Linked DNA regions of Styela clava. The main gene of each other region encodes a partner of the protein of the gene in region 3 in a complex. Links are inferred from orthologs where the notes say so. Each region holds a gene or a part of one and is shown on either strand. Other genes may lie near its edges.

The links.
Region 1: U4/U6 small nuclear ribonucleoprotein Prp3-like (region 3) and ubiquitin carboxyl-terminal hydrolase 39-like share a complex: the UniProt entries of both Homo sapiens proteins name them as parts of the U4/U6-U5 tri-snRNP complex. The link is inferred for Styela clava from reciprocal best matches to the Homo sapiens genes PRPF3 and USP39.
Region 2: U4/U6 small nuclear ribonucleoprotein Prp3-like (region 3) and U6 snRNA-associated Sm-like protein LSm4 share a complex: the UniProt entries of both Homo sapiens proteins name them as parts of the precatalytic spliceosome. The link is inferred for Styela clava from reciprocal best matches to the Homo sapiens genes PRPF3 and LSM4.

Annotation. Positions count from the first base shown.
Region 1 is NC_135257.1:18,732,701-18,737,066, reverse strand, and holds ubiquitin carboxyl-terminal hydrolase 39-like, read left to right. Parts: upstream 1-1,408; 5' UTR 1,409-1,516; coding exon 1,517-3,139; 3' UTR 3,140-4,257; downstream 4,258-4,366. Other genes in the region: uncharacterized protein LOC120345593, read right to left, coding at 1-109; coiled-coil domain-containing protein 12-like, read left to right, coding at 4,330-4,366.
Region 2 is NC_135262.1:751,171-755,536, forward strand, and holds U6 snRNA-associated Sm-like protein LSm4, read right to left. Parts: upstream 3,189-4,366; 5' UTR 3,133-3,188; coding exon 3,010-3,132; intron 2,076-3,009; coding exon 1,800-2,075; 3' UTR 809-1,799; downstream 1-808. UniProt on the Homo sapiens protein: Plays a role in pre-mRNA splicing as component of the U4/U6-U5 tri-snRNP complex that is involved in spliceosome assembly, and as component of the precatalytic spliceosome (spliceosome B complex).
Region 3 is NC_135262.1:3,874,694-3,879,059, reverse strand, and holds the start of U4/U6 small nuclear ribonucleoprotein Prp3-like, read right to left. Parts: upstream 3,163-4,366; 5' UTR 2,816-3,162; coding exon 2,665-2,815; intron 1,851-2,664; coding exon 1,747-1,850; intron 1,370-1,746; coding exon 1,250-1,369; intron 58-1,249; coding exon 1-57. UniProt on the Homo sapiens protein: Plays a role in pre-mRNA splicing as component of the U4/U6-U5 tri-snRNP complex that is involved in spliceosome assembly, and as component of the precatalytic spliceosome (spliceosome B complex).

The DNA.
Region 1 (4,366 bases), on a different chromosome or scaffold from region 3:
AGATAACAGAGTGAATCACTGGCCATAAAAAACAAAGACATATATGATAGAAAAGATTTTCATTTACATTTAGACAGTTAGAAGAGTGAAGATGATAACACTGTAACATGGCTCAACCACATAGCACACAGCTTTTGGTTTGATTACCAGTACATACATGGAAAAGATGATTAGAAAAATACATGATAAAAATAATATAAATTGAAGATTAGATTAGGATATGATTTTCCTATTTACTGTAATTATTCCAATGAGAAGCAAACCAATAAGGTGTCCCAATCACATATTTCCAATTTAAACCTAGTAAAAGTACAAATAGGAATCAGAATTAGAAAAAGTCGATATCCCTTTAGTACGATATGAGTTCAAAACAATTTTGTATTATTTACACATACAGACATATCAAAAGCGTTCTATAAAATTACATATGTATTGCGTAAGGTAGGTAGGTATTGCATTTCTTAATACAATTTTCGCATCACATTTAGACATATTTCATGTTCCTGAGCATTTAATTCATTCTACATTTAAATATAATTCTTATTACTCATTGAAAATATCTATTCAACCCAATTGCGGAAATTCTATGTGGCTGATTTTTCACACATATCTAGGATAATTATTGTTGAGTAATCGGCGCGGCGGTGTGGCTCAACGGGCTAAGCGTTAGGAATACGCTCGCCACCGCACCTCTAACTACTCTGCGTGGGTTCGCAGGTTCGAATCCCATGCAGGGATGGTTATGTGCGAGAGGATTGCTGGACTCCTCGCCGTCGTTGGGTGGTTCACGTAACCGCTGGTCGGTTACGGCTTCCTCCACCACCAAGTCCATGCTTCCAAAAACAAACAATACAGTAAATCTAATCCCATACCCGACTTGGAATGGTAACCGGACGAGAGGCCGTGGTTCGCCATATGGATAAGCCGTCTTATCGGCTTTCCTCTCCCCCGGGATAAATATGTAAATCCTATCCTATCCTACTGCAACATCCCAATACCGTGTCCTGGTATCAAAATACTGCGTAACGACTTTATCTGCGGGTAGCTGCGTTTCAACATCAATCTTCCAATGTTCATTTTAGTTAGAACTACTATCTTTTGATACAAATATTAGAAAAATAACCTTGCCTTTGCATCTTTTCCTTCCAAAAATATTCGAAAATAAGGAGTGCATTTTAAAAAGTTTACTACAAGGGGAATTCCCGAGTTAACCAGAAAACATCTTTTAATATTAATGTGGTTTCGTGCTCAAGTTCGAAAGATTTGAGTGTTTTTTTAGCATCAAGTTTTGTTGTTTAGAATTATAAATATTTGATAATGAAGTTGTGTTGTTGAATTCTTTTAAAATATATCATTTTCGTAAGATTTGAACTTATTTCCTATCGGAATCAGCCAAGCGTAGTTTTTTTGACACGTGACACCGACGTTCAATTTTCGTTCATGCTGCATTTTGTGGGGAAAATTATTCGCTGAGCGTTGTATTTTTCTACAATCTGTATATTTTGAAGGTCTAATCATGGATATAAAAAGTATTAAAAACGAAGTGGATTCGGAAGAGAACTCTGAACCCGCAAAAAAACGAAAAATTTCAGACAGTGAAATTAAACAAGAAGCTCCAGAACAAAAAATATTAGCTTTGGTTGAAGAATATTCGTCTGAAGAAGAATACAGGTATGATGACGAACCAAAGATTGATAGAAGTCGAAGCTGCCCGTATTTAGATACAATTAAACGCAGTGTTTTAGATTTTGATTTCGAAAAATTGTGCTCAGTGTCTCTCTCTCATTTGAACGTTTATGCTTGTCTCGTTTGCGGAAAATATTTTCAAGGAAGGGGCAAAAAATCTCATGCCTACACTCACAGTGTTGAGATAAATCATCATGTATTTTTGAATCTGAGGACTCTGAAATTTTACTGCCTCCCTGATAACTATGAAATTTTAGATTCATCACTTGAAGATATTACTTATGTTCTTAACCCTACTTTTAAAAAGAATCATATCGCTGAATTAAGCACAAGTTCCAAACTTAGTAGAGCTTACGATAGCACAACGTACTTGCCAGGAATAGTCGGGCTCAATAACATCAAAGCGAATGATTATTGTAACGTTGTTTTACAAGCGTTGTCAAACATCCCTCCATTGAGGGATTATTTTTTGAGAGAAGAGAATTACTCTCATATTAAACGGCCACCTGGTGACATCATGATTCTTTTAACTCAAAGATTTGGAGAATTGATTCGTAAATTATGGAATCCTCGTAATTTCAAAGCCCATGTGTCACCACACGAGATGCTGCAGAGCATTGTGCTCTGCTCTCGTAAACGATTCCAAATCACTGTACAAGGTGATCCTCTTGAATTACTTGCTTGGTTTTTGAATTCTTTACATGTTGCCCTAAATGGAACCAAGAAGAAGAGTTCCAGCATCATCACTGAAACTTTCCAGGGAGAAATGAAAATTTATTCAAGAAAAGTTCCTAACCCTGAACTACCAGAAGAAGAAAAAGTGAAACTGTTAGATCTGCCAGAATACCAAGAAACAATGCAAAAATCACCGTTTTTATATCTCACATTAGACCTACTTGCTGCCCCTCTCTACAAGGACGAACAGGAACAAAATATTATCCCACAAGTTCCGTTATTTAACCTTCTTGCAAAATTTAACGGCCTCACTGAGAAAGAATACAAAGGAAAACGAGATTTCACCATGAAAAAGTTTGAGCTTACACGTCTCCCTCCGTTTTTAATTTTCTACATCAAACGATTCACGAAAAATCTATTCTTCATAGAGAAAAATCCTACAATTGTTAATTTTCCCGTCAAAAATATCGATCTCGCGGAATTTGTCGCTGCTGATGCAGATATTAAAGACACATGTTATGATCTGGTTGCAAATATTGTGCATGATGGCGACCCGAACATTGGGAAAGGCACATATCGTGTTTATATTCTCCACCAAGGATCTAACCAATGGTATGAGATGCAAGATCTTCATGTGAGCGACATTTTGCCACAAATGATTACTCTCTCTGAAGCTTACATCCAAATATGGGCCCAAAGAAAAGGTGGAAAAGAATATGCATTTTCTAATGAAATGCAAGCCAAAGCAAAATCGGATGGAGTCAAAATGGAAATATAAATAACATTCATTATTGCTTGATTATTTAGCAAATGCATTTCATATTAGCCAATTTGGCTACTAGTCTTCGGAATTATTAGATCTTTGCTATGTCGAATTGCTATATGGGGAATTGATGATGTGCAAAATTGGCATGAAAAAAATTTTTAGTTTTAAAAGAGTGTTACAGTCTTTGACTGGCCAATTTAAATACTAATCCTTAGTGTGCCCCTCCGCAACTTGGAAAGCTATGATAAAATAGTGTGTAAACTAAACCCACATTTGAATGGAACTTTAACTGACCAGTTGCTTATAGGTGATGGAATAAACCAGACCTGTTTTTTGTTTGTAAAATATTATTATTGGAAGCTAACTGTTCAATCTTGCTCATGCTTTTGTTTAATATTCAACTTTCTAATGATGGCTACTTTAGCACTAATTTCATATGGCATACTCAACTCGGTACTCCCGTAGTGTGTGTACCAGATTAGGGTTAGGCTTAATATACCCCCTGCCCATAGGCTTCCATCCCTTTACACAACTTGATGTAAAGTAGGCGAACTAAATTAGTTACCTCTATTTGGTACACACAATTCTGGAGCGCCCTCAACTTAAGTAACACTTATAAATGAATGAGGTAATGAAATCCAATTTGAGGTATTGGTGACAGTGATATGTATATTTATACAAATTTTCTCATTGGCTTGCTTCATACCACACCCTTTATAATTATCACAAGTAATCAAGAATTGGTTGATATAAATTATCTTTTGTTTTCTGAGCCTGTAGTCACGCTCTCCATGATAAGAGTTTGCAACCTCGATATATAAGTGTGTAGAATACGTGGCAAAATTGCGATTAGCAAATAGATTGATCGAATCAGAAATCTTGTTTAATATAATAGTCATCTCTTTATTATACATGGCATGTACTGTTTACTCACGATCTGTTCAATGGGCTACATGATTGTCTATCCAAAATTTACCATTTGTTTGCTTTCCATTTTAAAAACTTTCAAAAAATTTGCATAAATCTGCTTTTTTGGATATTCAATATACTGCTCTTATTTTTGAAATTTCTAGCTGTCACTTGATGTTAGATTTTGATTTGGTAATAATTGTATTGAATTTTTTTGTAGACCCAGTACTACATACTAAAGTATTATTTAAATCTTCCCTATACAGCTTCGGTGACAGGATACGACTTACAAAATGGCTGACGTTGGTTCATTAGAAGAGCAAGCTCGTA
Region 2 (4,366 bases), about 3.1 Mb from region 3:
GTTTCTCGTCGCTTTTGCTTCTCTTCTCTCTTCCCAAGTGAACTTGCGACTCGCCGATTTAAACGGGCGAAAACGTACTTAAAAAAATATGTAGTTTTGCGAGAATGTAGGTTTGCAAGAACGGACTTTTGTGAGTATGTAGGTTTGCGAGATCATACTTTTACGAGAATGTAGTTTTGCGTAAGCGGACTTTTGTAAGAATGTAGTTTTGCGAGAACGAACTTTTGTGAGAATGTAGCTTTGCGAGAAAGTACGTTTGTGAGAATGTAGTTTTGTGAAAACGCATATTTGTGAGAATGTAGGTTTGCGAGAATGTAGCTTTTCAAGAAAGTACTTTTGTGAGAAGGTAGGTTTGCGAGAATGTAGTTTTGCATAAAGCCGTAAACGAACTTTTGTAAGAATCTAGTTTTGCGAGAACGGACTTTTGTGAGAATGTAGCTTTGCGAGAAAGTACTTTTGTGAGAATGTAGTTTTGGGGAAACGTACTTTTGTGAGAATGAAGTTTTGGGAAAACGTACTTTTGTGAGAATGTAGTTTTGTGAGAACTGAAAAGTATTCAAACTTTTGAGAACTATAACTACTCGAAAAGCCTTAAGAGTGTATTTACGAGACGAATAAACATACATGTATGTATGTTGAAGCGAAGTTACCTGGACTTCGAAAAAAAAAACACATTCCCTAACTACCAGCAAAAAAACAGCGCCACATATCTGGTTCGGATATTTATTTCCATATTCTACACTCGTTGTTATCTGAATGAGAAACTATGATTGAAATAAGAAAACCAACTTCCTGAAATATGAAAATATCCTGTTCCCACACAAATTTATTCAGTGTTCACATTGCAGCAGTTATTCTGTATTCCAAACTTGATTGATTAGTGAAATAACATTGGTACAAAAATACAAACACACAAAGCTGAAATTCAGGAATATTGCCAAAGCTTGAGGTTTAAAACACGAGACATTTTAGTTTAGGACGCCACCAACAAGGGCAAAGCCCGGGGAGAGAACATGTAAGGCAATTCAATTTCTCGAATATTGCAAGCATTGAGACCCACTAGCTGTTATGGTTTAACTTGGCAATTAAAATTTAAGAATCCCCTCCCCCCTTTGAAAATTCCTGGCTATCAAGTCCACGAACCTGAAGTGAATTACATAACTAAAAAGTACATACGGTAACTATTTTTATATCCACCCTAAACTTGTGACCAGACAAGAGACCGTAGTTCAAATTATCCATTAAAAGAATTCTCTCAAAAGTAAAGAAGACTCGCCTCTGAGCGAAGTCATGTGCAATCGCAGAAAGCGACCACTAAAAATATATAGAATCATGAAGCACTATGCGCACTCACCAAAAAGTAAAGTGGACTCATCTCTGAGTGAAGTTATGTGCAATCACTAAAAAAGTCAAAGCTACTGGAACAATATAGAATCATAATGTCGGGTGTCGCTGCTCGATAACCATTCCTGGTTCCCCGCGACTTCCCTTCCCCAGTAAAAATGTGTTTTCAGTTTTGTATTTTGTTAATTTCGTATGTTATTTTTTACTGAATGGGAAAAAATAAACTAGACTATGACTATAATGGTGCATTATGGGCACTCAATCAGAGGTAAATGAGACTCAACTTTGAATGGTTATTTAGCAAAAAAACTAATCATGAATCGAGCCACGAGCTAGTGGTATGTGAATAAATAATCAAGTCAACTTATCAGACAAGAATTTCTTTCAGTAACCACACAAGAATGACTTGTAGTAGTTTCTCCTCCAAACAGACACATCAAATTGATTCCCCTTTATCACTCTTGGGGTTTGGGTCTTTGTGGTTTTTTCCCTCCCTGGCCTCCACGTCCTCCCCCTTGTGACCTTCCACGACCTCCAAATCCACCTCTATTCGGGCCTCCTCCACGGCCCCTTGGACCTCGCCCTCTTCCGCGACCTTTAGAGAAATTTTCTTCTTTTACCATGTCGATAATTTCATCGGGAATTCGTAGATACTTGATTGTGCTGCCTCGTATGTAACACTCCGGCATTTTCCAAAAATGGTCGCCGTCTCTTGAAGTGCAGATGACTTCCTGAGACATGAAAAGATACATGAAAAATTAAAAATAGGGAGAGCTTTCATGTAACGCTCCGTCATCAATTTTCTGATCTGTTTTGTTCTGTTAATTTTAGGCAGGGGAATTACCAGGGGGGGGGCTTCGGTGTGTGGTAATTTGTGGGTTGAAAAGTCTATTTCACATCGGCCCTGGATTGAACATTTTACGAAACAGAAAAATCATTATCCGATGAAAAAGTTCATTTCAACTTAATCACGGCGCCTGTTTTAGAAGCTGGTGTGTTTATTCCCAATTTCAGAACCGCCCCCTTTTGAAAACCTGGCCCCTGATCTTAGGATAGGTTTGATGAGATTTGCCTGGAAGTTTAATACTTCATTTGCATCACCAAACATGTTGTTATTTAGTCAGATAACTTGAACACTGCATTGAAATGTAAAAAAAAAACAATCATTCATATGAACAAGCTCTTCGTATCATTTCAAACTTATAGCATTGTTCTAAGCTTTAGAATATACTCGCCACCACACCTCTGATTACCCTACATGGGTGTGCAGGTTCGAATCCCATTTGGGGATGGCTATGTGCAAGAGGATTTCTGGACTCCTTGCCCAATAGGGTGGTTTACGTAACCGCTGGTCAGTTACGGCTTCCTCCACCATCAAGTCCATGCTTCCGAAAACAAATAACTGACTAATCCCATACCCGACTTGGAATGGTAACCGGACGAGAGGCCGTACTTCGCTATACGACTAAGCCGTCTTAATGACTTTTCTCTCGCCAGGGACGAATATGTAAATCTTATTCTATCTCCCAGAGGATTCAACCTTCGAGGGGGAGGATCACCCAGTGTTGTGCCACGCCAAGCATCTCAACCCTGCTTCATAGAAATTTGATGAAATAACGATTCCAAATTTGAATGATCAAATCCATAACCAAGAGCAAAACCTACCCTCAGATTAATATTCATCCAATTATCACAATTAACCAGATGTCCGTTATACGTTTCTCCATTCTTCAATTCCACCAGCATGGGATGGTTCACAGCTGTCTTTAATAAAGATAAAGGTAACATTGCTAAAATTGCTTTGTCTAAGATTTACAATAACTGAAATAATAAGGAAAATTTGTTATATTTAGTACAGTTGTTTTGATACAAAAGCATATTTAGTATTCGGAATTACTTGATATAAACAATTAATGAAGGAAATTTTTATTTAAAACTTTATCATCAGCCGATAAATGAAAAGGTAGCATTGCTAAGGGCATATGTCTTACTAAGACTGAAATAAAAAAGAAAATTTGTATAGATAAGTAATTTATATATATTTAAAACAGTTATTCCGATACAAAAGCATATTTAGAAACACTTATGTTAAACAATTAATGAGAGAAATAATTAAGAATATTTTATCTATCTGTAATCAGTAGTTAGTTTTTTCACCATATTGTGAATAATTTTTACATACAGAACGAGGGGTGCTCCCGAAGTATGCGAACCAAGATGGCGGACATCGGAACGTAACATGGGTAACAGGTTAGGGTCAGGCGATAATTTTTTTCCAATTTTCCTTATTTTAGTCCTATTATCAGTTCGAAGAGCCTCCCGTAGTATTCATACCTAAAATTATGGCCTAACCCTAACCTAGTACACATATTACATTCCGATGTCCGCCATCTTGGTTCGCATACTTCGGGAGCCCCAAACGAGGTGAAAAAAAAAGCCTTTTTGGGTGAAAAGGGGAAACAATAAACCTGTGCTGGTTATCGAGCAGTGACACCTAGGAAAAGTCTAATATTAGGTCATACAAGAGTAAGAAGCCAAAATGATTAAAAACTAAAGCGAAGAGTGAATACTGTAATACTACGAATACTTCCTGAAATAATATTTTTGAATTTAAAATATCGAATACATTCTGAAATGAGTCTCTTCAAAAGAAGAAAATTGTAGATTCATAAAATCAAACTTGGTTAAGCGGAATAATTGGGATAAATACCGTTTTAATTGGTATTCTCCATTTTATTCTGTGAGAAGTTACTAATTTTTTGTCTGTCACAATATAATAAATGCTCAAAAAGACATTTTCAAAAGAAAATATTCAAAATTATTCCTGAATTCAAGAATTACGGCTTCCTCCACCATCAAGTCCATGCTTCTGAAAACAAATAACTAATCCCATACTCGACATGGAATGGTAACCGGACGAGAGGCCGTGGTTCGCCATATGGTTAAGACGTCCTATCAACTTTACTCTCTCTCGGAATAAATATGTAAATCCTATCCTATCCTAATTTACTAAATCGAATAT
Region 3 (4,366 bases):
CAATTGTTCCTTCCTTTGTTCAATTTGTTTTCTGGCGTGTTCCATCATGTTTTTGATCTGTATGTTGGAAAGAGGATAATGATAGTTAGCAGTAACGCAAAAAAATTATACACTGATAGTTAGGCATACCTAGCACAGGTATGTAGAAAATGAAAACAGTATTCAAATATATCTAAAGATAGTTATATTCTATATACAGTATTTTACGGAAGGCAGCGTTTCAAATACTTTTTTCTGAAAATTGATTGTGCGGCTTCCGAGCCAACGCGACGCGCCTAATGTAATAGACCAGGTAATGTGCCTGCGCTCAAAACCAGTACGGTTCCGCCTTATGTATGAATAAAAACCCAATCTGAGCAATTTATTGACGGTGCGCATCATGACCTAGTGTGCTGCGTAAAATACGTTAGTTAATTCGTGATTTTAGGGACTTTAAGTGTTTTATATATTTATCCAATGACTTTGAATTTGGAATAGCATATGAGTAATTCAGAAAAACATCAATTTGAGTGGTCTTCTCTTCCATATTACCGATATAGACTCCATATATTAAATGGAGGCTTTTCTGGTCACACTGTGGAACTATGATATTTTTGATATAAAATGTATTTAAAATAACTAAATATGAGACGATAAGGTCGAGTAGTTAAATGCAATAGATGAATATCAGAAGTTAAGCATATTAAGCCCAAGGCCCACGACATGACACACAAATATATTAGACATGCTGATTAGTAAAATTAGTTATTGTCCAGGTATAAGCAGCTACTTATCTGGAGCTTTAAGTGAGGAAATAATTAGTTACATATACCGTAGTTTTATTCCGCTGAAGATTATTTGGCGATACGCATATTCTTTGAATAGTGGCAACACTGCGGTTTAGTTAGAACTGTATAAAAAGCGACTAGCCCTATTCTTGTGAAAGCTAGTTGATACGTCTCAAGCTGAATGAATTTGGCTGGCGGTCGTATCCGAACAGTGGATTGCCTAACATTGATTAAATGAGCGCTGCATTCAGGGTGTTGATGAGTCATATCATTGTTAGAGTGTATGTCCTAAAAACTCAACCTATGCTACATAATAACGAATTAAATTGAAGATTGTTGCATTTTTATAGCCTTATCAACTCTTACTGGTAAAATTGATGGGGTTCAATGGAAGCTTGCAGAATAACATAGGATTTCGGCAGGTTCGTATAGGTTAATTGAAAGATAGTAAGTGAATGGAAACGACAAAATCTCGTCTTCACCTGTTGAGTGGTGAGCATTCCAGGACTCTCAGCGATGGGTTCAGCAGGAAGAGCAACAGGAATATCAGGTTCAACAAAACGACGAACTTTCTTGGTCCCTGCTGTTTCAACTTCATCCTCCTAAAACAATATGATTAGAAAGAATAAGAATTGCTTTGTTGACAGGTAAGTTACTTGACGACAAGTGTGAAATTATTTCAAAATGGGGCAATTGCAATATAAATATTCGACTTGTTTGAGAGCCACAAAAAACTGTTCCCACACAAAAACCTACATGAAAATCAAATCTTAATCGCCAAGACAACGAATTTCTGGTAAACCAGATATTTTAAGTCTGCATTCAAATAATTCACTTCGCATTTTGAGATTTCAAATTCTAATCGTTTCCACCTAACCTGTATTTATTATATGCCAATCAATCTGGCAACATGTCTAGAACCTTGTTCAGAGCCTGCTCATAAAAAATGGTTCCGAAGAAAAAACAAAGAAAAACTGACCTTTCTTTTTCTGCTTTTCTTTTTCGTTTTAGAAAGTTCAACTGTTGTATACAACTCCTCAACAAACTTTTTTGCTGATTTATCCATCAGAGGTTGCAGATGTTCTGAATGAAATGTTGTGAATAAATAAGAGGTTCAATAAGAAGCTATATTTTAAAACTTGAAAAACGTGAAGTCTCAAAAACGCAATAACAAATGTCAGATATGTAACTCTAATATAAAATCCTAGCCATTCCTTACTGTCAATGAGAGATGCGCTTCATTGCATGACATTAGGTGATATGTTTCTTTTCAACACTTTTAATTTCAAATTATAGATTTACGAGATGATTCACATCAAATAGGTAAAATTTGTTCTCAATACCAACATAACTGCTCTGTCACTGGAGATATTAATAAGCAAAAATGATAGCACTGGATGCATCTCTATCCAATAATGATCTACCGGATAAATAAATAATTTCAATCTTCAATTTCACAATATTTGCTATTGAACCATAAGTATAACCATGAACCATGTTTATAGGTATACCATAAAGAGATGTCTGAATAAAATGATGTTTGAGAACGACAAAGAGTCCTTGTAGAAGTAAGATGAACACAACTAGGAGCCGAGTCGAAAAACCAATCGATAAGACACCAACATTCTTATGATAACGATCAGCATGAGTCGATTTCATATTTATTCCGCCAATGAAAATCTTAGAGTAATAGATATTCAGGTGGTTAAGCCCCGAGAACTCTAATAAATAAAAATTGATACACAAATAACAGAATAAAGACTGAAAGAGGAAATAGAAACAACAACTTCCAGAAATTGTTCAGGAGATGCAACAAAGATTTTTGCATTTCAAATGGAGGGCTTTAGAAATCCTGTTTACGATTTATCATTGTGGTAAAGCAACAATAAATACAAACCAATTATTCTTCCTTTGTCCATGTCCTTCTGTAGACATTGGATTGCTGCCACGACAACAGAATTGTCGGAGAAACCAAGTACTTTTTCAACAATTCCACTGATTTGAGGCTTCAATTCATCAGCTTCTTTTCTTGATAACGCCATTTTCATAGTTGATTTAGAACTGAAAAACAAAATCCTGGAACAGTGATAACTTTTGCTTTTAAAATGTAAACTACAGAACTAGCCTATCTAGATTCAGAAAATTGTTAAAGTTATCCTAGGCTACTGTCTGAAAATATGCTATGTATTTCAATTGGAGGTAGATTCGAAAGGGTGAATAACGTACACGATGTTACAGCCATTTTATTTGATCAAGGACAAAAGGATAGGATTTTACAAATTCTCTGAAACATGAGGTGATGGTAGAAACAGGCAATCTGTTTTGTAATAAAACCCTATCAAATATAAAGTTAAGTATTATTAATAAGTGGAATCTCAGTAAACATGAACCGCTAAAATTAATTCATGACACCAAAATGCCGAATAATCTAAAAATCTACAGCAATAGTCTAATAATAATGCTAACTTCACAGTGGTGAATTATTAAACCGCACTCGGTAAAAGTGCATAACAGATGCCAGATTTCTCCATGGAAATAAGAAATCTCAGAAATAATTTCTGTTCTAATATAAGTATAATATTAAAAGTATATTGTATATACTTATGACGATATAATTATTAGTAAATAGTGAACTTGAATTATGACAGATTCAATGCTAAAATATACATATGTCTCAGTTTGATGCACTGCAATCTGGCATGATGCATTTTGTATTAAAAAAAACGTCTCGCATACGTTTTACCGATGGTGGTCGGAGTCAAAGACAACTGAACATAAACCATTATATTACATTGAGGTGTATGTATACACTTCATAAAGGAATTTATTCCATGACATATGTCAATTGTACTATCTTAATTAATATGTAGAGCTAACTTTTCACTCACTCGAGTGCGTTGCATCGACCTATTCTGGCCTATCTATATGTTATTTAGCTGTGTAAATTGCTCACAGCAGTACTCATATTGAAGAGTAAACACAGGAGTTGAATTGTGTTAGTATAGAATAAATAGGGATTATAAAGCCGCCAGTGAGGATAGAACTCACGACCTCTGGTTTACAAGACCAGTGCTCTAAACACTGAGCTATGGCAGCCAACGTACAACGCGACAAAAATACGAGGCCGCATCCTGATCGAAAATCAAAGAAAAGCATTTTAAAAATACATCCCTGGCTGGATACTGGTGTAAGACGGGGAGTCATTATCTATCGTACCCTTACCCTTATTTTTCAAGAATTTCTCTCTTTTCCGTCGTTGATATCGAGCCAATGTATTTAGAACTGGAAGTTCATTGCTGTGGCTAATGGGTAACATTCAAAGTAAATTTAGAAATTGCTTTGCAGAAAACGAGAAGATAGATGGAAGCCACCAGTGAGGACCGAACTCACGACCCCTGGTCCACGAGACCAGTGCTCCAACCACTGAGGTATGGCGGCCGATACACCAATGTACAAAGCTACGGAATATTAAATAGTCTCAGGACTTCTGCCACAAATCGGTCTTGACAAAGCTGATAATCGCAATTATCATGGAATCATGTCCAATGATATCTGAATGTGCGTCATTATAGGGAATCGAACTCACACTCGCTGTACAG